4 linked regions of the Oreochromis niloticus genome follow. The main gene of each other region encodes a partner of the protein of the gene in region 3 in a complex. Links are inferred from orthologs where the notes say so. Each region holds a gene or a part of one and is shown on either strand. Other genes may lie near its edges.

The links.
Region 1: snrpd3l (region 3) and txnl4a share a complex: the UniProt entries of both Homo sapiens proteins name them as parts of the U4/U6-U5 tri-snRNP complex. The link is inferred for Oreochromis niloticus from reciprocal best matches to the Homo sapiens genes SNRPD3 and TXNL4A.
Region 2: snrpd3l (region 3) and lsm5 share a complex: the UniProt entries of both Homo sapiens proteins name them as parts of the U4/U6-U5 tri-snRNP complex. The link is inferred for Oreochromis niloticus from reciprocal best matches to the Homo sapiens genes SNRPD3 and LSM5.
Region 4: snrpd3l (region 3) and snw1 share a complex: the UniProt entries of both Homo sapiens proteins name them as parts of the minor spliceosome. The link is inferred for Oreochromis niloticus from reciprocal best matches to the Homo sapiens genes SNRPD3 and SNW1.

The regions. Positions count from the first base shown.
Region 1 is NC_031985.2:28,337,905-28,344,917, reverse strand, and holds the start of txnl4a (thioredoxin-like protein 4A), read left to right. Parts: upstream 1-3,990; 5' UTR 3,991-4,166; intron 4,167-4,383; 5' UTR 4,384-4,410; coding exon 4,411-4,563; intron 4,564-5,868; coding exon 5,869-5,972; intron 5,973-7,013. UniProt on the Homo sapiens protein: Plays a role in pre-mRNA splicing as component of the U5 snRNP and U4/U6-U5 tri-snRNP complexes that are involved in spliceosome assembly, and as component of the precatalytic spliceosome (spliceosome B complex).
Region 2 is NC_031974.2:8,915,180-8,922,536, reverse strand, and holds lsm5 (U6 snRNA-associated Sm-like protein LSm5), read left to right. Parts: upstream 1-4,333; 5' UTR 4,334-4,470; intron 4,471-4,581; 5' UTR 4,582-4,680; coding exon 4,681-4,717; intron 4,718-4,756; exon of another isoform or gene 4,757-4,875; intron 4,876-5,425; coding exon 5,426-5,521; intron 5,522-6,372; coding exon 6,373-6,400; intron 6,401-6,485; coding exon 6,486-6,558; intron 6,559-6,650; coding exon 6,651-6,683; 3' UTR 6,684-6,899; downstream 6,900-7,357. Other genes in the region: late secretory pathway protein AVL9 homolog, read right to left, coding at 3,133-3,216; psme2 (proteasome activator complex subunit 2), read right to left, coding at 7,143-7,223. UniProt on the Homo sapiens protein: Plays a role in pre-mRNA splicing as component of the U4/U6-U5 tri-snRNP complex that is involved in spliceosome assembly, and as component of the precatalytic spliceosome (spliceosome B complex).
Region 3 is NC_031972.2:24,898,348-24,905,869, forward strand, and holds snrpd3l (small nuclear ribonucleoprotein D3 polypeptide, like), read left to right. Parts: upstream 1-4,520; 5' UTR 4,521-4,678; intron 4,679-5,393; 5' UTR 5,394-5,408; coding exon 5,409-5,534; intron 5,535-6,229; coding exon 6,230-6,422; intron 6,423-6,862; coding exon 6,863-6,927; 3' UTR 6,928-7,075; downstream 7,076-7,522. Other genes in the region: adora2ab (adenosine A2a receptor b), read left to right, coding at 472-1,430. UniProt on the Homo sapiens protein: Plays a role in pre-mRNA splicing as a core component of the spliceosomal U1, U2, U4 and U5 small nuclear ribonucleoproteins (snRNPs), the building blocks of the spliceosome.
Region 4 is NC_031980.2:2,829,149-2,836,384, reverse strand, and holds the start of snw1 (SNW domain-containing protein 1), read right to left. Parts: upstream 3,012-7,236; 5' UTR 2,921-3,011; coding exon 2,907-2,920; intron 2,423-2,906; coding exon 2,269-2,422; intron 2,136-2,268; coding exon 1,974-2,135; intron 1,726-1,973; coding exon 1,630-1,725; intron 949-1,629; coding exon 842-948; intron 1-841. UniProt on the Homo sapiens protein: Involved in pre-mRNA splicing as component of the spliceosome. As a component of the minor spliceosome, involved in the splicing of U12-type introns in pre-mRNAs.

The sequences.
Region 1 (7,013 bases), on a different chromosome or scaffold from region 3:
ACAGTAAGTACTAAAACTACCAGCTACAAAAATGCAGGGATGATGTGTAATACCGATTTAGAAGTGGGTGAGCAGAGGCATGAAGAGCCAGGAGTTATTTGTTTGTCTGAGGACTTGCAATCTTTTCATTGGTTACAGAGTGTTTGGTAATGAAATGTATGCGTGCCAGAGAAGGTATTTTCATATGAGGGAAAATGTCCTCTGGCAAAGCACAACAAGCACTTTTGCTGTAACAAAACAAATTTCCCACCTGTGGGACTAATAAAGGCCATCTTATCTCTTATCTTATAACAAGTTAAAATATGACAATACGTCTTGATGATAGTAGTTTACTACCACCAAGATTAGACAGCTTTAAAACAAACTTCTAGGAATCCTGAAAGTCTCCTTACAGAAGTCCAAAAAACAAAAATCAACATACTACTGTATGCATGTATACCTATATATATATGTATATATAATTAATATATATATGAACTTAGATCAAGCTTATTTATATATATTTATATATATATATATATATATGTATATATAATTAATATATATATGAACTTAGATCAAGCTTATTTATATATATTTATATATATTTATATATATATATATATATATTATATATATTTATATATATATATTATATATATTTATATATATATATTATATATATATTATATATATATATTATATATATATAATATATATATATTATATATATAATATATATATATTATATATATATAATATATATATATGTAAAAAAAACAAAAACACCCAGCACGCCCCTGCGGGCGGTTTATCCTTCAAGCTCGGGTCCTCTACCAGAGGCCTGGGAGCTTGAGGGTCCTGCGCAGTATCTTAGCTGTTCCCAGGACTGCGCTCTTCTGGACAGAGATCTCCGATGTTGTTCCCGGGATCTGCTGGAGCCACTCGCCTAGCTTGGGAGTCACCGCACCTAGTGCTCCGATTACCACGGGGACCACCGTTACCTTCACCCTCCACATCCTCTCGAGCTCTTCTCTGAGCCCTTGGTATTTCTCCAGCTTCTCGTGTTCCTTCTTCCTGATGTTGCTGTCATTCGGAACCGCTACATCGATCACTACGGCCGTCTTCTTCTGTTTGTCTACCACCACTATGTCCGGTTGGTTAGCCACCACCATTTTATCCGTCTGCATCTGGAAGTCCCACAGGATCTTAGCTCGGTCATTCTCCACCACCCTTGGGGGCATCTCCCATTTTGACCTCGGGACTTCCAGGTTATACTCGGCACAGATGTTCCTGTACACTATGCCGGCCACTTGGTTATGGCGCTCCATGTATGCCTTGCCTGCTAGCATCTTGCACCCTGCTGTTATGTGCTGGATTGTCTCTGGGGCATCTTTACACAGCCTGCACCTGGGGTCTTGCCTGGTGTGATAGACCCCAGCCTCTATGGATCTTGTACTCAGAGCTTGTTCTTGTGCTGCCATGATTAGTGCCTCTGTGCTGTCTTTCAGTCCAGCTTTGTCCAGCCACTGGTAGGATTTCTGGATATCAGCCACCTCCTCTATCTGCCGGTGGTACATACCGTGCAGGGGCCTGTCCTTCCATGATGGTTCCTCGCCTTCCTCCTCTTTCTTGGGTTTCTGCTGCCTGAGGTATTCACTGAGCACGCTGTCAGTTGGGGCCATCTTCGTGATGTATTCGTGGATGTTTCTTGTCTCATCCTGGACTGTGGTGCTGACACTCACCAGTCCCCGGCCCCCTTCCTTCCGCTTAGCATACAGCCTCAGGGTGCTGGACTTGGGGTGAAACCCTCCATGCATGGTAAGGAGCTTTCTTGTCTTTATGTCAGTGGCTTCTATCTCCTCCTTTGGCCAGCCTATTACCCCAGCAGGGTACCTGATCACGGGCAGGGCGTAGGTGTTGATGGCCCGGATCTTGTTCTTACCGTTCAGCTGACTCCTCAGGACTTGCCTGACCCTCTGCAGGTACTTGGTGGTTGCAGCTTTCCTAGCGCCCTCTTCGTGGTTCCCATTCGCTTGCGGGATCCCCAGGTACTTGTAACTGTCCTCTATGTCTGCAATGTTGCCTTCTATATATATGTATATGTATATATATATATATATATATATATATATACATATACATATATATATACATATATATATATATATATATATAATATATATATTATATATATATACATATATATATATGTATATATATATAATATATGTATATGTATATATATATATATATATATATATATATATATATATATATATATATATACATATATATACATATATATATATATATAAGCTTGATCTAAGTTCACTCAAAGACATTTGGTGAGTTAATGGTTTGTAGTTTTGTGACAATCAACTTTTGGATACATTTTCAAGGAGGAGCATTTGATATGATGTAATATAGTAGATAAAATGCAGCTGCGCCTTAGTCACATTAAACAGTAACCAAATGTAATGTTACTATAATAAAAAAATAAAATCTAATAAAATGTTATCAACTATGAAACATGAACACCTTTTCACAGCCCATGTGTAAAATGAAAGGACCAAAATAGATCCCAAAGGTTGACTCTGTTCGTCTGGACGTAGAGTTTTCAGTGGGAGAAACATTTCATCACTCTTCAGTCTCAGCTCAGCTCTCTATCAACTCTCTACTCATGGCCAATGATCAGTGGTCTTTGATCAGTAGTTGTTGATCAATGGTCATGAGAATTTGCATATTAATGATCAAGGAACTGACCTTCCACCCATTGTCCCTTCAGTGGTGCTAGTTTCAGTCATTATGCAAATGTACTGTTTATAAGATTGTGGAATCCCGCAGTCAGCTGAGACTGAAGAGGTCACTTGGATGAGTGACGAAATGTTTCTCCCACTGAAAACGCTACATCCAGATACACAGAATCAGCCTTTGGGATTTACTTACCCGGATGATTGAGCATGCATCAAGATATTAAGATAAGACCAAAATAGATGGCACCAAGTTTCAGTAATTAGCTCACAGTACTTTGTCTATGTCATTCTCGAACCTTTATAGAAATGTTTCACTGGGTAAATCACCTTAAATGAAGCTCTTCTAAACCGTATTTGTCTGAAAGTACTTTTGTGCAGGGACCTGTAACTGTGTAATGTTTTTCAGTGTAACCACAGTATAAACCTGTCTTCTACAATCACTGGTAAAGACCAAAAGTTCTTCCAGACAGGGGCGGGGCTAAAGGGGTGGGGTGTGGTGGCACTGACATATCTGAAATTTGTTTGCTCCTCTTCTTCACACACATTCATCACTTAAGTAGAAATACAGATAGTTGTATTTAAAAATGCTCTAGTAAATATTAACATACCCATTCAATGTCCTTACTCAAAAGTTTTGTTTTTTTTTAAAAAGTACAGGCTCTGAAATGTACTCTATACAAAAATAAAAAGTAGCTCTTTGAATTTTTTGACAACTAATTAAAACTCATGTTATATTATTATTATTATTAAAAAAAATCTTAACAAAGGCAGTAAAAAATGTAGCTGTATTTGCTGTTGTCTAAATTGTAGAGCGTTGACTTTGCCTCCACACCTAAATAGAAAAACGACTATAGGGCTACATCGAGATTTGGCAGGTGTGGAAACACTAAAATTACCCGAAAAGAAAAACGTAGAAACAAGTGACAAGTTGTTTCTGATCGGATTTTCTGAATTCCTATGACTTCCACACCCCACCAACCCGCTGTGCCACCCCATTAAAAAAAAATCCCGGAAATGCCCTTTGTTCCAGTTAATATTAAGAAAATTCTTCCATGTTGCAGCTGGAAAGGATGCCGTGTTTTCCTGAAATCTGATTTTGGAAGTCATTTTTCTCATAAATGAAAAACAGAGGTTACCTAAAGCAGATTGAATAGGGTCAGGACGTCTTACAGCATAATTCACTAAGGAAAAACCTAAAATGTGGTTGCATCTGACTAAAACGTACACACGGACGTGACGTAAACACGTCTGGCGCTGGATTGATGACGTCACGTGTCTAGAAACGAACCATTTGCGACAAAGTACACAGCGGCAAGAGCTGTAGCAGAGGTATTATTCAACAAAGTTTCTCTTTCTTGGAGTTACGAATTGCATTGTTACCACAAACACTACATTCGTGGCCTAATAACACGGATTTATTTACGTTTTTAGGTAAGTGTTTCCGAAGTTTGTTCACTTCTTTTTATGCAGGGCTCTCTATTTCTCCTTCCAGATTTTTCCTTGCTAACCTCAACCCAGACTGCCCCGTTAGCAGCAGGCTTACTGCCTATTATGACTAACACAAACAAAAACAGAGGTTTTATTGGATGTAATTTATAATGTAATTTACACATTTGCTACTGTTATAATGAAACATATTTATTTGCAGCTTAGGAATCAAAAACTTTGGATCAACATGTCGTACATGCTACCACATCTCCACAACGGCTGGCAGGTCGACCAAGCCATCTTGTCTGAGGAGGACCGAGTCCTGGTTATCCGCTTCGGACACGATTGGGACCCGACATGTATGAAGATGGACGAAGTTCTTTACAGCATCGCGGAAAAGGTCTGAGTAGTTTATCAACGACGACTGTTTGCTAGCTTATGTTTCTTATCTGAACTCCTGTAGAGGGCGCTGTTTGTGGGGGTTTAACCGGATGCATGTAATATTATTAAGCTGATAAAATTCAGTATAGAGGAGGTCATTTTAGTACTTTAAGGGCAATACGTGGAATATTTTACCATTTATTGTAACATTTAAATACGTCTTAAAATCTTACAAATTGAAAATATATGCACAGCATCCTTGGTGGGGTCTTATTCTGGGATGTAGTGATTTTTCTCTCCTGCAAATAATCTTTCTAAACGCAAGTCTTTCTCTTACTGTTAATTACAACTTAAGAGGTGAAAGTTTGTAGAGCCTATAACTTGTACAAATGTAATGCTGGCACTTTTTCCCCCTCCCTCTCCCAAGTAGTCTTTGTTTTGGTCATTTTGTTTGTTTTCATGGTTCAGGTTTTTCCCAAGTCTTTGAGTTTCAGCAAGCTACCTTCAGTAATTTGCTGACATATGTTAGTCCTTATAGTGTGGCAACAATTTTTATTTTTTCACTGGTAAACTCAAAACCCGGAGGAAAAGTAGCCATAAAAGACAGTATGACTTTAGTAATGACTCAGTTCAGAGAGCCAACTTCACCCATGTTTCTGGGTCACTCCTTGAGAGCAGTGTTATGGATACAGCAAGTCAAGAAGAGGGAAAAAAAGTGCACCTAACTACATTTTCACTATGATAACTGTAGTGTCAGTGCAGTTTGATTCAATATTACTGTATCAATTTCCATTGATTCAATTTAGTTTAGTTTAGTTTTTTTGGCCTTTTAGCCTGTAATGGATAGAGACAGCATAGATAGACAGGAAAGTGGGGAAAGAGAGGAAGACATGCAGCGAAGGGCCACAGGTCAGACTCGAACCCAGGCCTGCTGCTATCTGGCCACAGGCCTGCTCACCAACAGAGCTAGTATTTGTTTATTTATTTAAACCCAGATTTTTTTTGTTTGAGACTTTCTAATGCCTCTTAAAGGGGCCTGGAGGCTCCGTACTACATTGACTGGTCATGGAAGATTATTGCTGATTTTACAACCAAGGCTTTTGCTGGAGGATTTGGCTCTGAGGTAGCAATTGGTTGATGATTTTCCAGATGTAACCTTGCTACCCAGAGCTGTTAAAGTTAAAAAGAAACCTGGCCTTGTGTAATTTTTAAAAGATAAAATTGACTTGATGTCCAGGAAAACATTTTGCTAAGAGCAGCACTTTTCTTCTTCTTTTTTTTTTTCTGTCTGTATTTACTTTTGTTTTTTACTTTGCCTTGACAGGTTAAGAATTTTGCAGTCATTTACCTGGTGGACATCACAGAAGTACCTGATTTCAACAAGATGTACGAGTTGTACGACCCCTGCACTGTCATGTTCTTCTTCAGGTGAGGCTGTCAGTGTCAGCCCTGCATTCTGTCACTGTTGTTGTTATTTAGTAGACTGGCATTGCTGGAATGCACTCAGGTTATTAGTTATTAAAACTAATCATATTAACAAAACTGCTAAATCTTGCAGTCATTGTACACTTCATTTATGTAAGGATAATCTAGTTCTTTTAACACTAAAAGTGTTCAGCTGTGCTCTTCTGGACTCTGCTTCACATCAAACTCACAACACATTAAATAAGCAGACCAGAAGACTGTACTAGAGAGGTATGATGGTGCGTGGGGGAAAACACCAGATACTGATATTTTAATAAAGAAGTTAACATACTCTGGGAATACTTTGAACAAGAGAGCTCAACTCATGCATGACCATCTTGAGAAAACTTAACCGAAAACTTTCCCAGCACTGGACACGCTTATCTTAACGCAGCTGCCCCCTAATTCAGAGCAAACAATCACTTTTTGATTGTAAGGCGATTACACAAGGTACCTGATGGGAGGCAACCTTTATGCAAACAGTTGCTGTCCGACTTGAATAAGCAGTCACACTCTGAGAGATTGCCGAAGGTTTGTAAATACGTGCTGTCTAATTTGTAAATGCAGACAGATTGCCAGCATGTTGCCATCAGTTTGAATGAGTCTTTGTTAAAAGCTGAAGGCAAGTCGACTCATCCGGCTGCCAGCTGGTTGTACTCTGGTTATATTCCTATAGAGCAGGAAGGTTCATCAGTTTATGCTCTGATCATCATCAGGAGCATCATCTATCAGCAGTCTTCCTCATGATTATGATTGGCTGTATCAAACTAGACAGATGGACAGTTACTTATTTGTTTTGGACTGAAGACCATAATTATAAAAGTTAAAACAAGAATACTTGAAATAATTCACATTATGTCACTGAAATTTAAAGAAAAAAAAAAAAACCCTTCAGTTTTTAGTTTTAATCTGTTTTCCACATTAGAACACAGATGGAAACCCAGTTTTTGGTATTTAAATGTGATTTAAAGGAACTCAACATCAAACTTCATTTCATCCCATTTT
Region 2 (7,357 bases), on a different chromosome or scaffold from region 3:
AACAGCATTACTATCAGGTAATCAAACTTCATTATAATGGCAAGACAAAGAGAACTGCATGTTTCACATCTAGTTTAATCAGCTTTGCTCCTTTCTCCACTGCCATTGATCGTTTCTCTACTGGGTCAGTTCCTAATTAGCAGGAGGTCCCCATATGTGAAAGCACTTGAAATAATTACTAACGCTCAGCAACAGTGACTATAAGTGTACCTTAGAAAGTTTCATATACACATCACATTTCCTGTTTCATGAAGTAGTGAGAGAGAAGTAAAGTAATTTAACTACAAAGAATGCAATGTTACCAATCGATTAATGCATGAATGACTTCATGAGATATACTAAATATACACTACAGAAGGACAGCAAAACTACTAAGAAATATCATAACTAACAATTAAACTTCAAAAACCCTCCAACAAGACTAACTGGAAACCTGCTGGTCCTGAACACCTCGGACACACCCACCAGCAATGATTCAATGTTTGATGGGGAAATCCTCCCTCAGGGCAGAGTGCCACTCCTCACCCCAGAGAAGTGATGCTCTGAACAGAAATGCATCCATTACTGAGCTTATTCATCCTGAATTGAGTTTATTTTTCATTTATATTTTTAGGCAGAGAGCGAGGAGCTGACATTAAACTATTCTTTTGGTCAATACAGACAAAGTAAATTTCAAATGTAGGAAATATTTCTAAAAATCCAGCTTTCAACTTGTTCAGGAAAACCTTTGGAGTTACAGCCTGGACCCCCAAACACTTAAGCCAGTATGCTTAAGTACTTGGGGTGGGTCCAAAACAGTGGACCTACATGGCACAGTGACAGAGGTTCATGAAAGCAACACCCGCACAAGTGGAACAGAAAACTGCTTAAAGATTAAAGTTAGATTAAAGTTATAGTTTTCACACAGCTGAATAAACGTCACACAGAAAACTGATTAAACAGAAGTGTGAGATGGTCGAGAATTTACTCCAATGTCCTTTTATATTTTAGAAAGCAAAGAACAGATGGCTGAGTTCATTATTAAACTTCACTGAGACAATCTGCAAATTTCATTAAAAGTTTAATTAAACTATCATCTTGTCTTTGTTTTTAGTTAGCACATACCTTAAACACTTCAAGCTGTAAGCTAATGATAGTTATATAAGAGCAGATGCATGCTGGTGCAATAAGATGCACGTTTTACGTCCAATGGATGCATGATCTGATTAGTCGACTAATCATGCAGTTACACACTGAATAATCGGTGACTAGTCAACTATCAAAATAATCGTTTGTGGCAGCTCTACCTTACATTAGCCACATCTTTAAAGTGTCTATGGATGTGCATGAAATGTCCAATTTTGTCCCATCTCGCAGTGGACCAAGCTCCACATTTTGTGGCATTTTCATACAAATCTGTCCATGAGTTACTATGTAATCCTCCAAACAAACACACTGAGCCAACTGCAAAACATGTTAGGGTGCAGATTTGTAATGTATGTGCCAATGTTTCTTAATGTACTGTTAAAAATAAACTTTGCAGATGTAAGGAATTAAAAAAACATGCTTTCAATGTTTTTAATCAGGCTCATTTGTGCATTTTTATTTGTATTTACATGCTTAAAATTAAGTGGGAAAATATAAGTAAACATATTTCTGTGTGATGGATGTTCCTGCTGCATTACTGATTAAGGTTTCCAATAAAAAATACATGTAGAAGTCCTCGAAATCCTGCCAGGCAAGCAGATGGACAGCAGGTGAATAAGAGGAGGAGGGCGGTTGTGAAAGAGAGGCAGAGAAACGGATTAAAGAGCCAGGAACCCAATCTTGTGCCGCCCAGCAGGAGATCGCTGACCCTTATCAGATAACCTCCATCACCTCCATCCCTGAGTGCAGGCCCATTAAAGGCAACAAAGACTGCAAACTGGGTGCTTTGCCAGGGCTTTGGTCTCATCTTTACATCAGGAAAGCTGTTGTTTTATCTTTGGGCTTGAGCAGCAGCTGTTTGCAAAACCGCAGAAAGAAAAACAGATGGAGAGCAGAGACAACAACAACACCACTGAGGAGGAGGAGGAAGTTCAGTGTGTAACTGCACATTTAATGAAATTTGAATCAGCAGCAGAAGAAGAACAAAACAACAATGTGAGGAAAAATTAGAATCAGTAAAGCGGGGGTGTTAAGCTCACTTTACATTAACGGCCACACAGAGTTCAATTTGGTCTTAGGTGATGATTTGTCAGACAAATTATTTTCACAATTAAACAACTGCTACAAATGTGAAATCTTGTAAACCTCCTCGTTGGAGTGTCAAAAAGTTTCATATGCAGTAAAAATCCTTAAAAAGATTTAAAAAAAAATTAAAAGGTAAACACTGAGTGCTCCTGCCCCTCAGCAAGCTTCTGGAAGTCAGCCAATCAAGAGATAGCAAGCTTAAACAGAAGGGGCTCTTTTTAAAGAGAGACTTTGTTTCAAACTGACAAGTCGTGTAAAGGGCCAGTGCAAGATCGAGCAGGAGTTTTTAAAACTTTTTAGTGCAGTCCTAGAATAATGAGTCAGTAATGCCTTCTGTCTGTCTTGTCAGCTGGGCACAAAACATATTTTTCGCTTTTAAACAACAACAACTCCTATAATAGTGACAGTTAAGTGTCTTCTTTTTACCAAAAAGGCCCTAAAATATTAAGTAAACAATGACATGATACCAAGAAAATGTTTCTAAACAGCTCAAAGAAAACCTGAACTGATCGATTAATCGGCTTGTTGTTCCATTTTTGTGCATACCCAGACAAAAGCAGGGTCCAGGAGAAGTGATGATGAGTATGCTGCAGCCTGAGATGAAAACACTGAACTGCTGGCAGCAGACCTCGTGTTATATAACCCTGGGAGCCCACAGCAAACTGCTGTTCTTAACCCCTCTTCACTGACAGGGAAGCCAGGCAGTGAGAAGTCTGTAGTTTTTACTGTTTTTATGTTTATAAATGTCCGCATTACTGCAGGACTGTGCATGCGCTGTTTAAAAAAACAAGCGCATATTAGAGATGTAAGGTGACACTCGTACCGTACAGAAGTTTAGTGAAAATGCACCTTTATGTCAACTCAATGTGAGGACTTGGTTAGCAGTTAGCCGATGTTAGCTGGGAGCAGAGGTTCACGTACCTGGCAGCCTTTTTTGTGGTGAAATCCAACCACCACGATGTGCAGCACCGGCCCCTTCCCTTCGTCTCTGCCCTGAGGCTCCATCCCCGCTGCTGTACCCGCAGTCTATCGTTGTTTTAACTCCGGAATTGGATGTAAACACAGATAACCGAGGCCGACTTTTCTGTCTGTATCTCCCTGAATATGTGACACAGACAGACGGCAGCACCGCAGAGATGATTTTCTCTTCCGCTTAGTCCTCACTGGCCAATTGGGCAAGAGCATCCCCCGCAGCGCACTTCCGTTTTCGCTTACCGAAATTTAAGCTTACAGCTAATTGCCCCCCCAAGGACAGTCTTCAGTTAAGTAGAGTCAATGGAGCAAATTTACTTAGACAATACTTTCTTAAGTGTGCAGACAAAAGCCAACATTTTATTACAGTTTTCAAAATTTCAGCATTGATATTAAATTCAACTTAAAATAAAATTTAGCTAAGCTGTGCTTACTAGCTTTTAGCTGACTAACTGTTTAGTTGCCTATCTTATTCAATTACTTTTTAGCTAACTATCAAACAATAATTTAGCTAGTCATATTTTAGCAGACTAATTAGCTGTTAGCATACAATTAGCTTTTAACTGGCTAATCAGCATTTATCTAATAACCTTTTAGCTAATCCCGTTTAGGCTAACTAATTGGCATTTAGCTACCCTACCTACCCTACCTACTTTCAGTGTTTTTCGTTATGTAACAAAAGTTGAGTTATAAACATATACAACAGGAAGGCGTGTATAAATTACTAGAGATTTCCAATTGTATAATGTTATTAATATAACGTAATAAAAACATTTAAATGACCGATTAAAGTTTTAATTCACTGTTGACCAATGTAACATAATATAATAAGATAACAGTTAACAATTATATTGAGTGTATTTTTTGTCTTAAGCAGGACAAAATGAATGTAAAGGCTTTAAATGCAATCAGGCTGAAGTTCTTTTGGAAAAAGTCACGAGTTGACTAACATTTCCTTCATATTTTCCTACATTTCAATCTGGAATTTCCTTGGATGTTATCAGACATCTTGCCCTAGAATAAAGTCCGGATAATCTGCCGTTAAAGACTAGATAATTAGCTTAGTCTCTTGTGTTTCGAGCTCAATAGAAAACGTGCATGTCACCTTAAATTCCACCTGTCACGGTGAAATAAAGCATAACTATCCACGGTCAGATTTTACAGGGGTGAATTATCTTGATCTCTGTTCTGTTCTCTTTTTTAAACACAAAAATGATGTCATGTGTTCCTCGACACAACCTGCGCCATCGTGTGGAGACATACAGAATAATTTAATATCGTCCTCAGGTGTGTGTGTGTTTTGTTTGAATTTAAAAAGAAGTGTATTATATTTGGTTCCAACCATGAATGTTTGAATTTCTTTAAAAAGTAGACTGAAGATGTTTTTTGTTTCTCCAGAGACGAAATTGTTCTAGATTGATTGATCTTGTCTGGCTGCCACTTCGGTTCTTCTGTCGATTACTTCTGGCTTTGTAGAGGGAAGTCTCTTGATTGAACATGTCGGCTACAAACCCGTCGCAGCTGCTCCCGCTCGGTTTGTAAAATCTCTATGATGCTGTGTTTTGTTCCTGACGTCTGTGGGTTTAAATGAGGCTGTTCCGAGTCATCGTGCGGCGGCCGCAGTTTAAGCCGCGGCTCACTGAAAATCATTTTCTAGGCAGATGTTTGCTAGTTAGCATTAGCATCACGCCGGTAGGGAGCTAACGTTGCGGCTTTACTCTCTGCAAGCACAAACAAAATGCTTCTTATTTGATTTAGTTTGTTTATTAAAGTGTCAGAGGGGAGTTTCTAGCTGAAAAGTTAAAATAAAAAAAAAAACTATCATTTTTGTAATGGTGATTTAAAGAAATAATACGAAAAAAAGCTGCTTTTATCTGTGTCAATGTGTTACATTGCACTTAATGAAAACGTAATTCACAGATTTGCCCTGGCATGTTCAAAATACATTGTCGTCCTTTTATTTCTATTTAGTTATAGGTGATGCTTTTTAAAATATGTGTTTGCATATTTGTAATCCAGTCAAACTTCTATTTTTTATTTTATTTTAAGGGGATCGGTTTAATGTTATATCCATGTGACTAGGAGGCTATTATTAAATATTTATGGTATTTCAAAGGGTTAACTGTTGAGTCCTTAAGAAAGATAGACACCAGTTAATAAAGCGGTTAAGTGAAGTGTAAGAAGTAGAAACACCCACCTGAATTACAGGATGTGTAATTTCTCTGTATTTTTCCTTTTGCAGAGCTTGTGGACAAATGTATCGGCTCCCGAATTCACATCGTCATGAAAACTGACAAAGAAATTGTCGGCACCTTGCTGGGCTTCGATGACTTCGTCAGTATCTTTTAATTAAAACGTGTCCAAATGAGCGAGTTAGTGCACACCTAAACACCAACAATTTACAAAGTGTTACCGATGTTACTGTATTGTTCTGTACACACCATAAACTGTTTGAAATCATCCATGCTGTGAGGTGGAGCTGATGCAATGAGAAGCAGTGAACTATCGTGCTGCTTTTTGTTTCTGTTTTATTTAGAAATGTGAGAGAGGACACTTGCAGAATACCATTGGCATAAAAAAAAATGTGTAGATCTGTACAATGGGGGACAAATAGACTGATCAAATAATTTAAGGAAACAGTCAGTCATCACAGTACAACACAGAGTTCAACGTCAGGCATGTCAGTCTGTCCAGGTAGGAGTAATAAACCATCATAAATCTATTTCTGCCAAATTGGTGCAAATTAAAGTAACAACAGGTTGTGAATTTGATAACTTAAGAGGGAAGTCAGCTAGGATTTTCAAATTGATAACATAGGTGCACCTTCTAAAAGTCTTGGAGTTTGAATCTCGGTGACCTTGACTTCAAGGTCAGAGTAAGTTTTGTGAAATTCTTGTGAATGCGATAACTTGAGAATGAGGGGACATAGGATTTTGAATTGATACCACAGTTGTGTCTACTAGGATGAGGAGTACCGCTGGTGGCCGCCAGTTAATTAATGAATTAGTTAATTAATTATTAGGGATTAATAGGAAGTAGAAAGGCTTCTGTAGATGGGCGCTGGTACTGCTCACGTCCACGTCTCCACATCCTCCTGCTCGTTTGTGTAAACCTTCTAGCTTTTAGCTGCACTTTGATGTCTCTTTACTGTTTATTGTTGCACAGTTTGTCTTTAACTGTGTGTGTCAGACATGGTCCTGGAGGATGTGACAGAATTGTAAGTACTCCTGTTACATTTTTACTCTAACTACACCTTTTCTCGGGTTCACTGCTGACTATATTTATAAATGAATGTGTTGCAGTGAAATCACACCAGAGGGGAGGAGGATAACCAAGCTGGACCAGATCCTCCTCAATGGCAATAACATCACCATGGTAACCAAACAAACATCTGATCATGTCCTATAATCCCCCGTGTTTTAAACCTTGACAGGATGATTTATGGCGGCATATTTTCTCTTCTGCAGCTCATCCCCGGTGGAGAAGGACCAGAAGTATAAATGGCTGGAGGCCGGTTAATCTTCCTGTGTTGCTGTTCCTGACTTTATTATGTAATTATTATTGTTGATGTCTTGTTTTTTCTTTGGGTTTTTCCCTCCTGATCCTGAATGAGAAAGATATTTTTGTAATAAGATTCCTCACTGATGAGAGGTGCACATGCCGAAAAGTTTTTCTTTGTTAAAAATAAATCTGAGGATGTCACACAGTCTGAAAAACACTTTTCTTTATTCATTCTTTACCACACAACTTAAAATTTAGTGCAAATCTTGGTATAAAACCAAAGTGTTACCATGAAACAGCAGAACTAAAAACCCCCCATCCAGTTGTTTATGTATTTATTTTAAATGTTTATCAAACAAAGAGCCGGATACTTGATTGATATTGAGTTTAGCAGGTGATCAATGCAGCTGAAGGTTGTTTAAATTCATCCCAGTGGCTTTTCCCGTTCCCCGGGAGCCTCAGTACATCGAGGGCTTCTCCTCTCCTTTTGGGTTGGTCACCTTCTCCAGGTTTTTGCTGATGATGTCATAAAGCTCGGCCTGAGGAAAACAAGCAGAAATGCAGGTAAATAATCGACTTACAGCAGCTAAAAATACATTGTTAGTGATTAAACTATTTGAAAATCAGTTTTTCAATCTTATAGAAAAACTCAAATATTTTATTTAAGATCCAT
Region 3 (7,522 bases):
TTGCCAGTTCACAGGTTGTTTCATGTTGTTCCATGTTTCACACAGCATCAATGAAAGGCATTGATGCTGTGTGAAACATGAAACAACCTTCCTTTACGTAGTCAAAATCATCCAGAGGAGGCGTTTTGATACAAACAAGCAAACATTATTCTTGTGTAAGGGAGGATGCCCCGCTTCCGTCTGTATATCTTCTTACTGCTTATTACAACAATTCTATTGCATTGTATAGTATAAATGGATAAATGCAACAACGATGTATTTCTAGAAAGGTCTCGTGTTCTTATTTGCACGGGCAGTGGCAAGAGAGACATGCATACATTTATTTATTTATGTTTTCATGTTTAAGTTACATATTTAAGCATGTTTAAGTGGTCCTAACTGCTGAGGAGATTGTTTAGGAAAACTGAACTGAAACCCTATAATTTTGCTTTTGGATGAAACTGGCAATAAATCACTGTTTTCTTTACACAGGTTGGAACTCCAATACCACTGCCACCAAAAGCCAAGGCTGCCCTGAAGGAATGACTCATTGCTTGTTTGAGGGAGTGGTTCCCCTTGACTATATGGTCTATTTCAATTTCTTTGGCTGCGTGTTGGTGCCCTTGGTGATAATGTTGGTCATCTATATCCATATCTTCATGGCAGCCCGCCGACAGCTTCGACTGATGAGCCTCAAAGTTGCACACGTACCTGCTCCCGGACAGAAAACTCCATCTTCTGGCTCATCTCGTTCGATTCTGCAGAAGGAAGTACACGCTGCAAAATCGCTGGCTATTATCGTTGGTTTGTTTGCTCTGTGCTGGCTTCCTGTGCATATTATCAATTGCATCAACCATATTTGCCAGGGCTGTGAGCGCCCACACATCTGGGTGATGAACATTGCAATCATTCTCTCCCATGCCAACTCTGTGGTGAATCCCCTTATCTACGCCTACCGCCTTCGAGAGTTCAGATATACCTTTCGCAAGATTCTCTATCAGCACATCCTGGGAAAGAGGGATGGGCATGTGTTCGGGGTTGAAAGTGCTGATGGCAGAGGTGTAAGGAGCACTAGTATCATGCAGACATCTGCCCGTACGAGTAAAGAGGATTTATCATGTGGCACAATGGTAAATAGTTATGTTCTCGAGTCCAGTGCTGAGAAAACTACATCAAATGCCTCTCATGAGAGTTTAGATTCTGTACCTAACAGTAATACACCCAACGGACACCAAAAAGCAACTGGCACCCCATCAGAAGTACAGCATCAGCCAGGTATCTTGGCATCTTCTGCACAGGAAGCAGCAGCGTCCGCCACATATCTGGGAGGAGCAACAGATATCTTGGAGTTGAAAGACAGAGGAAGCTGCATTACTTTTGTAAATGTACAGGCACTCCCCTTAAAACAGAATGACTGTTCCCTTTCTTCAAAAATCACAGAAATATCATGACAAAGACATTTAGTTATTTCAAATATATTGCTCTCAGAACACACAGAACGTTCTGCAAACGTGAAATTTCAGCAAATCAGCCTCGACAGCAAATCTGTTTTTTTATGTAAATTTTTTTTTTTTTAGTTTGGAGTTTCTTTTTGTTTTATGTGCACTTTAACGTTTAAAGATAATATACTTTTTGTAATGTGCAGGTTTTTGCTATCTGTGTTGTTTGCATGCCATCAAAATTAAACATCTTTAAATATGTCACAGTTTTGTGGTGTTTTTGTGCTGCAGCACTGAACTGAACTTTGTCACTCATCCAGGTTATGATACTCTGAAGAGCTTGAAAAGAGAAGAAAACTAGACTTCTTTAAGTTGTGAAGATGTTTCACCTCTCATCCAACAGGCTTCTCCTGTTCTAAAAACACCTTGGCTGAAGTGACCTCAATAGGTCACATGGCAGGATGTGTGGTAGACCATACTAGCCCCTAGTGTGGGTTGTCCACTTGGAGGTGGTTGTTGACCCAATATTGATCATGCGAGTCATCACATGAGCCAAAGTGTGAAAAAGATGTGGGTCATCGTCAGGGGTTATGGGGGAAACCACTCAGAGACTGTGCCCCACCCTATTATGTGACCTATTGAGATCATCTCAGGGAAGGTATGAGTAGGGGTTAAAGCACCTGGGAAGGGATCTCAAGACTGCATTGTAGGTGGCTGATAGCTAGTGTCGTAAGGCACCACCTCTGTTCAATGATGGTCATTCACAAGTGGCTGCTTGGTTTCTCCTTGATGCACTGCGCAGCATACGCTATGTTGCTCAGTTTGTTTTTGGGAGTTTGGTCCTTGAGATCAACCAGTTTTTCTCTAAGGGTGTTGCTGGGTCTGAAGTGCACTATAATATCATGGTTAGAAGAAATTCTCATGAGTTTCTCTAACAAACCTGCTACGAGATGGCAATAGAAGGCCTCCTTTACTCCTCCTATAAACCTGGCCTTATGTTTGGGAGTTTTGTTCTTAGAATGAACCAGTTTTTGTCTGAGGGTGTGGCTAGTCTGAAGTCTGAGGATCATCCACATACCTGTACCAGTAGCTAGGTGCAATCCCTCTGAGGAAGACCAGAGCTTTATTAGAGGTTGGCTACAATGGCTGAGGTTGGATAGAGGTTCCTGCCCGTGGCACATCTAGGATTTTTTCTGTAGAAAAACCTTTTTGTATTTAAAATATGTGGTATCCTATGTGGAGATGTCTAACAGTGTGCAAATCTGATGTGGGATGTAGCAGATTCTGTTGTGTAAGGAGCTGTAGTTGTTTTCTGACAGTCTCCACTTCCTCAGTTGTAGCTCTACAAGTGAGAAGTGTGATGACATCACAAGACTTACAACTAAAACTCTGTTTGTTTTGCTGCTGTTGTGATCAGCGATTTGATCAGTGCCAGGCAACACATGTTCACTGTTGTTTACGAACCATCCAAAACAAAGAGCTTGTTTGCCTGTACAGATATGACCCCATATGCCTGTATTGTAGATGCTTTCAGAGTAAGGCTTGCTTGCATCACACTATGAAAAGGACACACATACCTAGGTAAAGTACATACACATGACCACAGACCACTCTGTAAGAAATGTTTACAGAGCAGCCTGGCACTGACGCCAGTCAATGAGCCTAATGCAATGGAAATCAAATGATGGTTCATTTGATGGTGTCTTTTATTATCCCATAATGCTTTCCCTTCCCTCATTAAAAAGCTCTTCCACTGTGGCAAAGACCTACATTAACCAGTTTTTATGTGCCTTAAAGCAATCCCAGAGAGAGGTCTCCAGGAATACGGGTACGTATCTAACTTGCACTGTGTTTATTCATAAACTTAAACGTATGCATTGTAATCATGCAAGAGGGGAATTAAAATGGGTGAAACCATTTCATTTCAATGGTTTTTTTGTTGCATGTTATGATATTTTGATAAGCATGAGATAAGGGTTATCAAAATGATTTGGTTATGGATATTACATAGCTGAGTCATAAAAAATAACAAAGATAAGGGGCCATTGTGGTATGATGACCTGGAGGAAAACAATCCAGTGTGTCCCTCTATAGTGTGTCATGCTGCCATAAATTACACATGTGTGACACCGGCATGCAAAAGGATTAAGCTATCTTTTAGAAAGAAATGCAAATTAGCAGAAACTCGGTAACAAAAGATTTATTGCAGCAGAGACCACAGTGTTTATTTAAAGAGTCATACTCTGTGCATTCCCTCTCTGGCTGATGATTTCAGTCAGCCTCATAAATTACCCACCTCCACCAATGCACCGTGTAACCATTGCAAGTACTGCATCCTTTGTTCTACACCTCTGATGTTCTTCTTTTTAAACCCCTCAAACTTAAATTTGTTAGTACATTCTTTTTGTTGTTGTTGGGGTTTTTTTTTCAAATCTTAGTTCTTCTGATGTGACTTTTTCTTTGCAGCCTGGCTAAATGGGTCACCATCCTTACTGTTAATGTTGAAACTTGTGTTTTGGTGATTCTTGTATCACTTAAAAAAAGTTACCAGAGAATCTGAGAGCAAACTATTTCTCAAGCTGGAGACTCTGCTGAATCTATCCAGCTGCTCAGTTGTGCACCACGGCCTGCAGGGAGCTACTTTGATGCTGTTCTGTTCTGTGAATGGTAACTGTAAAAGTGTACTTTCGGGACGGAATTTCCCACATACGATAGCCTTTGTTACTTGTAATAATAACAGTATGACTAGATTCACAGATAGCTGATGAGAGACAGGCTAGAATATCTGCTCATTCTTTATTCTTTATTCCGATTCACACTAGTTGTCCCTTGGGTCTAAAGATAAAACAATACAAAACATCCAACCATCAAGAGACAATCAGTCAACACATTGGAAAAAAAATAACCCATCAAATAAAAAGAGAATAGTTCCTGCAACTTATATGACAAACAATGACATATTATGAAATAATAAAAAAATACAATAAATGGCATCTATCAAAGATCTACTGATGATCACTTGATGTATCATTTTTTTTCGCCAATCGGTGTATCCAAATTCCTTGTGAACCCGTAAAGCCATAAAAATACAGATCCCACAATGCACTGCAGAGCATCACAGGAAGCATTCGATTGAACCGCCGGTGCATTGTGGGAAGGCGGAAAAAGGGCTCAAAAGGTAGGGAACCGCGTCTGGCGCACGTTGCAACGTCAAAAGAAGAAGCAATAACAAAGAAACTAGCTTTTACGATAGACTCCAGGTAAGAAACAAAAATACTCGTAATTCAACTGAGACTGTAAATTTTTTCCATGCTCATTAGCAGCGTTGTTTGTTTCTTGTGCGTGTGAATCAAGCGCGTTCGTTCAGGAGCCAATATGGCTCCGTCTATTTGCCGAACTAATAACTTATTACTGCAATAAAGAGGCAAGTGTTAATGTTGAAATCGTATTTGTGTCATTTTAAGTTTAATTTGTTACACATGGCATTAATTGGGTTACATTATTGTATGCAACCAGGATATATTATTGTCCATTAGCCTAGCTCGCTAATGAAGGCTAATTCCTCTCGCAGCTTCGATATTCAATGATTTGACTGAGAGATTCGCTTTATTGATCAGAAGTTAACTGTAGCTTGCTCATCCCATCTTAACGAGGGTCACTGATTGTTATATATTAACTCCCAGCAACTCTTTAAACAGTATAAGAGAGCTGATTATCGTTACACAGGCAGTACTCGAGTGAAAAATAAATTGGCGAGGATAATGATGTGTGGACAAGTGAAATGGTTCCTGATTGCCTCTCTGGTGTTTCTGTAACTAAACGCATCGCAAAATTAACAAGCCAGTTAGCCATACAGTTTGGTTACAGTTAAGTGTGATGTTTGATGAAAAAAAAAAAAAAAAATGCGTTTCCAGGAGCTTACAGCCTGTGAATGTGCACAGTGTAACATTTCTTCTGCTAAATTTTGTTTTCCAGAAACATTCTTGAAAAATGTCCATCGGCGTTCCAATCAAGGTCCTGCATGAGGCAGAAGGCCACATTGTGACCTGTGAGACCAACACTGGAGAGGTTTACAGAGGCAAGCTGATCGAAGCAGAGGACAACATGAACTGCCAGGTCAGTACATGATAAAGAGTGGAAAGTGAATGTGGATGGTGCTCCTCCTTACGGGGGTCCCATCAACCAAACTGTTGGTACTGTATTGTTTTTATGATATTTTTTTTTTTTTTTTTTTCCTCCCTTAATTAGAGTAATCAACAGTTTAGTCTTTAATAGGCTGCTTGATCATTTGAACAAGTTTTGTTTACTTTATTTTCAGGTAAATGCCCCTAAATGGCTTAAGGTCTTGTAAGGCAACACCGATAGAAAAGCTTAATGAGGCTAAAAGGAATTGCATTACAAATAATAGTGTCTTTGTTCTCTGCGTCTCTCTGTTTTCCCTTTAGGTAAATGTAAAAGGACATCTGAATGTTCAGGTTCAATTTGTGGTGTTTTTATTTTAATTATAACATTTATTTCTAGTTTTTTGTTTATATTTATTTTTTTCCCCCGTAGTTGTTTAAAGGTTTCCAAGCTTTCCACCTGATGGTGTCAAAATAAGAGTGAATTGTGCTAATCAAGTACTGGAGACCTAGATCTGGTAGCTGCATTAGTAAGAGCCAGTTAATTAAAAATTGGTCCCAGATCAGATGGTAAAAATCTGTTCCTTTTATGGCTTTGTAAAGTTTAGATAACTACTGTTGACTTGAATAAAACACTAAAGAGCAGTTTGATTACATTTGTTGAAAGAATGATCTTTCTGTTTCTTACAGATGTCTAATATCACGGTGACTTATCGGGATGGCCGCGTGGCACAGCTGGAGCAAGTTTACATCCGTGGCAGCAAAATCCGCTTTCTGATTTTACCCGATATGTTAAAAAATGCTCCTATGCTGAAGAGTATGAAGAACAAGAACCAGGGATCTGGTGCAGGAAGGGGCAAGGCAGCTATTCTTAAAGCACAAGGTGGGTGAAAATTCGCAGTGGATTGATACACCTGTCAGTATGTTCAGTAGTGGGAGCAACTGATGGTGATTTAAACTCACTGCATGCATTGATTGCCTTTTTGTGTTTGTGCAGCATAACTAAATCCTACCATGAGAAAAGTGCTTTCTGTCAGTGTTGCTCTGTTCCTTGTGTAATAAGTACAGTCTTGTCATAGGTGCAGGGGATCTGTCAAAAACACTGACTTAAATGTTTCATTGTTGTTCAATTTGTCTTCACATCCCCTTTAAGATAGAGCTGATATTTTGCCAAGCGGGTGTTAAGGATACAAAATTAGACTTCACTGTACTTCTCAAAGTACTGAATGTATTATTAAGGTTACTGAACAGTTTTTCTGGTTCAGTGAGGTACTCTACATTAAAAACTGATAGTATGCCATCTTTGTTTTTTGTGCTCTCCAGTGGCTGCAAGAGGACGAGGGCGTGGTGGAATGGGAAGGGGAAACATCTTCCAGAAGAGGCGATAATTGCTCCAGCTATATTAACATTTTTGCATTGTATAGTTTTTGTTTCCCCCTTGAATTTGATATGTTGGATATCATTTGAAATCTTGTACTTTGCAGTCAGTTGCTTTAATTTCTTTTTTTTTATTAAAATAAAAGTTTTTCAATTTGATGTGTCCTGATGTTTTTGTTTTGTTTTTCTTCTCCCACTTACAAGAGATTCACTTGTGCCAACAGTCTTATTTCAAAACATCCAATATTTAATAAGGAATGTACTAGGAATGCGGTGTTTAGCTTTATCCAAGTAATTTCAGTGTTAAACCCTGGGTTTTCTGTACTATAAAAGGTTACCTGAGTATATTGCCATGTTGCCTTCTGCTGTGGACCAGATAAAATCGGGCCTAAAATCACCACATACTAACCAATCAATTCTTTGGAAATTAATTTTACTATTCCAGAGGAGTCCTTGGCCCTGTGCAGATGGCAGCATTTAAAGGATTTCAGCACCATCCAGTCTTTTTTCCGTAATGGGCATCAGTAGTAAGTACTGCATTGATTCTTAAATGCTACCTCTCTTGTGTTGGCTGCAGACCTTGTATAAAATGTGCATGTAGCCTAA
Region 4 (7,236 bases), on a different chromosome or scaffold from region 3:
ATGACTGATGTGTACAAGAGCATAAAACATAATTACTGGCAAATTCTCTCTCAAGATGCTGTTCATGTGGCACAACTGCAGATACCGCTGTTTGACCGCTGTTTCAGCAGTCACACATTTTCAGACTCAAACATGAATCTAACATGCTAACACAACTCCATTAATAGCCGTACTCTGACAGACATTTCAGTTTGGGTCATAAATGATCAAAGGTTGCTCAGTCTGTGTGCACTGGGGTGCAAAAACAGAGCTCACTTCAGTTATGCTCCATTTGATCAACATCCCACCATCGTTGAGCAGCAGAATTATGTATGCTCAGCTCTAAAATTCGGGGTCCCTTTTCTAAAAAAAATTCCAAACTTTGTAATGAAGTGATATTTTTCATTTGTTGTTCTCATTTATATATGACCTTCATAAAACAACAGTGTAAGATGAACATTTCTAGATACTGCAGTTTCCACATGGCAGACATCCAGTATGAAAATACTAAGGAGTCTAATGTAAGTGTGGTTGGATCCCCCACGCACATGATTTCTATTTTAGTCAAGGAAAAGTGATGCGGACAAAGAGGTTATTTTTTTGGGGGGATGATCTGAGTTGATTCCTAGACTCCAGTACGTATGTTAGCTAGTGTAAATCATTAGCTTACTGTTAATAAGCTATACCAATATGCTGTTGTACCCACATAAAAAGAATTTAAGAGTAGCGTGAGTAGAACTGAAAGAAGTTTAAGAAGGCCTCAGGCCCACGTACTACAGAGCACTACAATAACTGGAAGTCAACTTTCCCACCCTCCTCCCTGACTGTGTGCAGTGTTGATAATCTTCTGACTAATACATACCTGATGTACTGTGCAGGAGCTTGTTTGTCTGCGGCTCTTACAGGCATGGCAGCAGCGATTTTTTGAGACACCTGCTTCTCCAGGGCTGCACGGGTCTTCTCTGTGAGCTACAAAGGACACAAAAGGATGATCATGTTTACATTCCAGATTAAAGAAATCCAATACAGGAATTGTTTGCAATTATTAGCAGTCACATGACACAAGAGAAACTGTACTCCTTAAACATTTAGTAATAAGAAAGCATCCTGACTGGAAACAACATAAACTGATGAAGGTTGAGCAATGTGCAAAATCGGGAGATTAACAATCACCAAGAACATCGCAGGCTTTGATGTACTCAAAGCCTGAACTGTCTTTATATTTTCTTTACTTGTTTATTCATTCATTTAGGCCTTTATGGTTTAGTTTGCAGGAAGGATTAAATGGACTTGAATCAGTAATTTTGTTAGACAACCTTGTATTTCATAATGACAACTAAAACAAATCTTAAAGATAAGCAGAGTCATCCTGGTGTCCAACACTTCTTACCAATTAAGTTTAAAAAGTCTAAATACAAAGTTGTCAAAACTAATTATGACAAATTGTTTCACTCGCTCAGCAACTTTACTGGGACAAAAATATACGTTGTGCATTTTTCCTTTGACATTAGCAGATTTTTAATTGATACCTCTAAAAAGCCCTTTGTGGCAGTTGTTGGTTTTGAGAACGCCTTTATATAAATATTTTACTTCTTTGGTAAATGGTTCTAAAAATGACTAGTGAGTACTCAAATCTAAACCTGCTCTTACCTCTTGTATAGCCTCCTCATCTGGCTTCTGTAGTCCTGGAGCATCTTCATTGAGAACTTCCTTTGGAAGCAGGTCTGTGTATTTACTGAAGATCACCTATAAGAATGAAAAATGAAACCAATAAAGGAATGCCACTTTTTAAAATCAAAACAGAGCCAGACATGCAAATAAACTAAAGCCTAAATGTCATTTTCTGGCAGTGTGAAAGTGATGCACATGAGAGAGGTTTTATTCAGGCTTTAAGAAGAGAATTGCTGATTTGTATATTATGATTTAAAGACAAATCCTTGGAGTGTGTTGAGAGGATCCCTGCTAACTGTCGAAGGGATAAAATGCCCATATACCTTATCCTTTCCCTGTCCTTGTCTGGCAATGGCATCATATTTGATCTTTCCTTCTGCATCCACTTGTACTGCCAGGGCATTTGATGTCTTCTTCTTTCTACCCATCTCCAGAGGAAACTGAGCCACATGGATCTCTGGGAAAGCACCTCCATCTCCGAAGTCCTGCAGAAACACATATTTTGCTGTGAAAACTCAGGGTTGATTTCATCTTCAAACCGTAGAGGTTAGACAAAAAGGGACCCAACCATAAGTGAGCAAAACAAGAAACTTATCCCATATGAGCAAGAGGTTTTACCTCGAGTGAGCGAGGTATCCAGCCCTTTCTGTGTCCATAAGGAGGGGGCTCTCTACGGGATGCAACCAGGGCGGTAGAGTAGGACTTCTGGGCCCGGAGCTTCTCCTCTGCCTCCAACTGATCTTGGGACAGCTGGGTCGGCGCCGGTAAAAAGCTGAACACACAGGAATCCACATGTAAGTCTCAAAGTGATGAACAGTAACACAAGCGCTGTATGCCCTGGCTAGCATTAGCCGCTAGTGACAACAAATAGCTTCGAGGTTAATTATGACACGCGTGTAAGTGTCAGTTAAAATAGCCAATGATCAAGGTAAGTTAAAAGAAAATGTTAGAGAAGCCAACTTTAACACGCGGCTGACTAAACTACGTCTACACAACGAACTACATCATATCGTGACCACGGCTGCGTGCTGATAAGCTAGCTATTGCTAAATGTTGAACTCGCGACATTTTTACTTGCTAGCCGTAGCCGTTTGGATCGACTAAATCAGATACAGAACCGACAGCGTACATACCACAAATACCAGTGTGATACATTAATCGTAGTCTATACACCTGAAACCAATCAGTTGAATCGATATCTTATTTAATACAGTTTCACAATTTATAAATACAAAAGGCTTTATCGTGAAGCTCACCTCGTCAGAGACATCTTCCCGTTTCTTCCTAAGCGATAGACTGCGCATGCGCGAAGACAGTACAGACATGCGCACGATAGAATAGACGACAACCACTAAACAAGAAACGTTCTGGACAAAGTATATAGGAGGAAAGCAGAAGGGACATTTGTGTGGTCTATGAAACAGTGGCTGGAGAAGGAAGAGCAGAATTCTTTATACTTTTTAAGTTAGAAAAGTATCTTGCAAAATTGAAAACAATTACTCATTTAAGAATAGAGGAAGTGGTAACTGATAACCCGAAAATGATAACTAATTTCTGTTCATCCTATTATAAAAAAAACTTTATAGGCAGTGATGGTCTGGCTTTTCTAAACTCTTTACAAAACACTCCCAAACTGGAAGGAAGGTGAGGATTTATGTGACACTCTGTTATCTGTCAAAAAGTCTGTGAATGGTACTCCTGGCCATTGATCAATGGTTTTTGATCAGTGGTTGTTGATCAATGGTCATGACAATTTGCATGTTAATGATTAAGGAACTGACCTCACAGCCCATTGTTTATTCAGTGGGCTGGTTTCAGTTATTGTTCAAATGTACTGTTTATAAGGTTGGGGAAACCTGCAGTCAGCTGAGACTGAAGAAGTCACTTGGATGAGTGATGAAACGTTTCTCCCACTGAAAACACTATGTCCAGATGAACAGATTCAACCTTTTGAAATCTACAGGAAGGCTGAAAAATAACAAATCACCAGGGACAGATGGCTTGTCATTTGAGTTCTATAAGTTATTTCATCCTCAGTATGAATGTATATCAGTTGATGCATTACCCTGGAGTATGACTCAAGGATTAATTACTCTAATTCCGAAACAATAACTGATGAAGAGCAACTTGGCTTTTTACCTAACAGACATATTTCCAGTAATATCAGACTTATCTTGGATATGTTGAATTACTCATACATAATTCCAGATAATGGCTATTTTCTGTTTTTAGATTGTTTTAACGCCTTTGACACGGTTGAACATCAGTTTTTACATCATTCACTTAAAAGCCTTGCCTTTTTTCGTAGTTATATAACAATGCCAACTGCTCTATTAAGCTTAAACATGGATCATCAGCCAGATTTAATGTTCAGCGAGGCATCAGACAAGGCTGTCCACTTTCACCATATCTTTTTCTTCTTGTTGCTCAGCTGCTCTGCTCACATATAAAATCAAGCAACTTACAGGGCTCTTCTATCACTAACAGGACATTTCTCATTAGTCAACTTGCTGATGACACAACATTGTTTTTAAAAGATAGCACGGGGATTTCTTCTGCAATTATTCTGTTAGAATTATTCTCTAAAGCTTCTGGTCTTTTGCCTTAATCTTAAAAAGTGTGAATTATTTTAGGAGTGCTTAAGAAGTGTTTTATTTGGAATAAGAGTTATATTCTCTGTAAAAACAAATCAATTTTTTCCAGAACTGGTTTGATAACAACATTCTCACGGCAAGCCAACTATTTAGTCAAGAAGTGCATCTGTTTACTTGTGCTGAATTTTTACACAACTATAAAATTCCTCTTTCTACAAAAGAATTCTCTGTTGTTTTTGACGCTTTCCCCTCAGGACTGTTTTCACTTCTTTGAGGTGTAACAGGAAATAGAGCCCAGCTTCTGCCTCCTCAGGTCTCTGGAACTGAAATTATTCAGACTATTTTTCTACCCTTTTAACCACCAAAAGAAGAACCAGACAACTCACAATCTGTTTCTTCAAGATGTGCTGTTCACGGTTTTATTTCGGGTGGTTATTTCTTGATTTTATGTTCTTAAAAATTGATAGCACATTTTCTAGATCATGCAGTAACAAACTGAATAGAAAAAAGTCCTATTACAGTCACAGAAAATGCATTTTAAATGCAAATTTTAACAAGTTGACGTAACAAGACAGTTTGCTTCTCTTTATTTCTTGTCTTTTGAAATGATCTTTTCCATACGAAAGCTTGTTTCTACTAGTGAAAAATTAAAATAAAATCAGCCCGTAAGTCAAAATTTTGACTTAATCAGTAATAACTCAAAATTTCAGATAGTAAGTTGAAAGTTGCACTAGGTAATGAATTTTGAGATAGTAACCCCAAATTTCGACTCAGCTCTGCGTGGCGTTTTGTTTCAGCTTTGATATTTATTTATCTCTGAGACTGAAATAATCAACAAGCTATTAACTGCACATTTTGTCTTATTCCAAATATTAAAAATAAGAGTTAATTTATAGAAACTAGGTTCACTTAAAGCAAAGCACTTTCATTCCTTAGAGATACGGTCCATACTCTCATCACGTAGTTGCTGCAGATTGCACAACTAAGATCTGGAGACTGTGAAGGATAAATTCTGACCCTGCCAATGCTGAAACAGAAATAATGGGGCTGTGCTTACACAGTGCTTTTCTACTCTGCATGAGTCCTATATTCTTACTACAAGCCTCATTTACCCATCCTTATCTTGATCAACAAAGCATTGAAACACAGAGTAGGAGACTGGGAATCAAACCAAACACCTTCCGATTAGTAGATGACTCGCTGTGCCTCCTGAACCACAGACCAGGTAACGTGTTGAGAATCTTTTATTGCCCGATTTTGGTTAGTGTGTGATGTGTATCCCCAGCTTTCTGTTCCCTAGATGACAGAAGTAGCAACCAGTAGTTCTTCTGCTTTAGCGCATCTACTTCAAAGTTTGATATGTTCTACATTCAAAGATGTTCCTCTGCATAGCCTCATTGTACTGAGTAGTTATATGTTACCTTCCTATCAGCAGCCTGGCCATTCTCCTCTGACCAAGGCATTTTCACCCAGAGAACTGCTGTTCACTGGATATTTTCTCTTTTTAAGCCATTCTCTGAGAGTTTTCAGTTTTCAGTTTTATTTGTCATATGCAAGTTAGCACAGGGTCAACATCGCAATGAAATGTGTTTGACGAGCAGCGGTCTCTCAGCAGCATGATACAGTAGGAAAAAATATAATAAAATATAATATAATAAAATAAAATAACAAATAGAAAAATAGTAAAGAACAAAATATTAGAGAGACATGGTAAAAGAGAAAAGATGACTAAATATATATGTATCTATAAATATAAATATATGTACACTAGTGATTAAATAAGAAAATCTTGAAAAGAAATATGACGGGAGGGCAGATGGGATATTGCACAGGAATGAGCAGCAGAAAATTACAGTATTGCACTTTTTAAATATAAATATCAATAACAATAAAGTGAAGTGACCAGTGCAGATTAAACAGAGTACTTGTGAAGCTGCAGGGTAGCTTCTGAGTCCTGTGTTGTGTGTGTTTAAGTGTTGTGGTTGAGGTGTCGTATGGCTTGGTGGTAAAAACTGTTTTTAAGTCTTGTAGTCCGAGCAGACAGACTCCTGTAACGTCTGCCAGATGGTAACAAGGAGAACAGCTGATGTGCTGGGTGGCTGTGGTCCTTGATGATGCTGTGTGCTTTACGGAGGCATCGCTGGTGATAAATGTCCTGAATGGCAGGAAGCCTCGTGCCAGTGATGTGCTCTGCTGCCTTCACCACCCTCTGTAGTGATTTACGGCTGCTGGCAGAGCAGCTTCCGTACCAAACTGTGATGCAGCTCGTCAGCAAGCTCTCGATTGCACACCTGTAGAAATTTGAGATGATGCTGGCGTTCATGCCAAACCTCCTCAGCCTCCTCAGGAAGTAAAGCCGCTGGCGAGCTTTCCTGATAGCAGTGTCTGTGTGAAGGGTCCAGGAGAAGTCCTCAGTGATGTTGACTCCAAGGAACTTGAAGCTGCTGACCCTTTCGACCTTGACACTGTTGATGTGGATGGGCTGGTGTTCCCTGATGATGGATGGATGTGTTGGAAAATTCCAGCAGATCAGCAGTTTCTGAAAGACTCAGACCAACCTGTTAGGTACCAACAACCATGCCATGTTCAAAGTCACTTAAATCACCTTTGTTCCCCATTCTGATGCTCAGTGTGAAATTGATCTTGGCCATGTCTATTTATGGCTAAAGAAACTGAGTTCCTGTGTTTGTAATATATTATCTATTCTGAGAAACGTGTTTTTTCACTAAAGTGAAACTAAAGATTTTCAAACAACAAAAATGAAGCTGACACTAGTAAACACATTTTGGAAACTGCATGAAATTACCTGACGTGAAAACAAAAACCTGACACAAAAAATAGGAACTATTTACAGAAAATATGGCTCAAAAATTTCTGCACACCTGAATGGGTGACAGAGTAAAAGTTCCACAACAATTTAACTGTAACTCCTCCACGCTAGATTTACAAAGTCCTAATGCAGTAAGTGAGACAGTGTGCAGGAGTTATATTT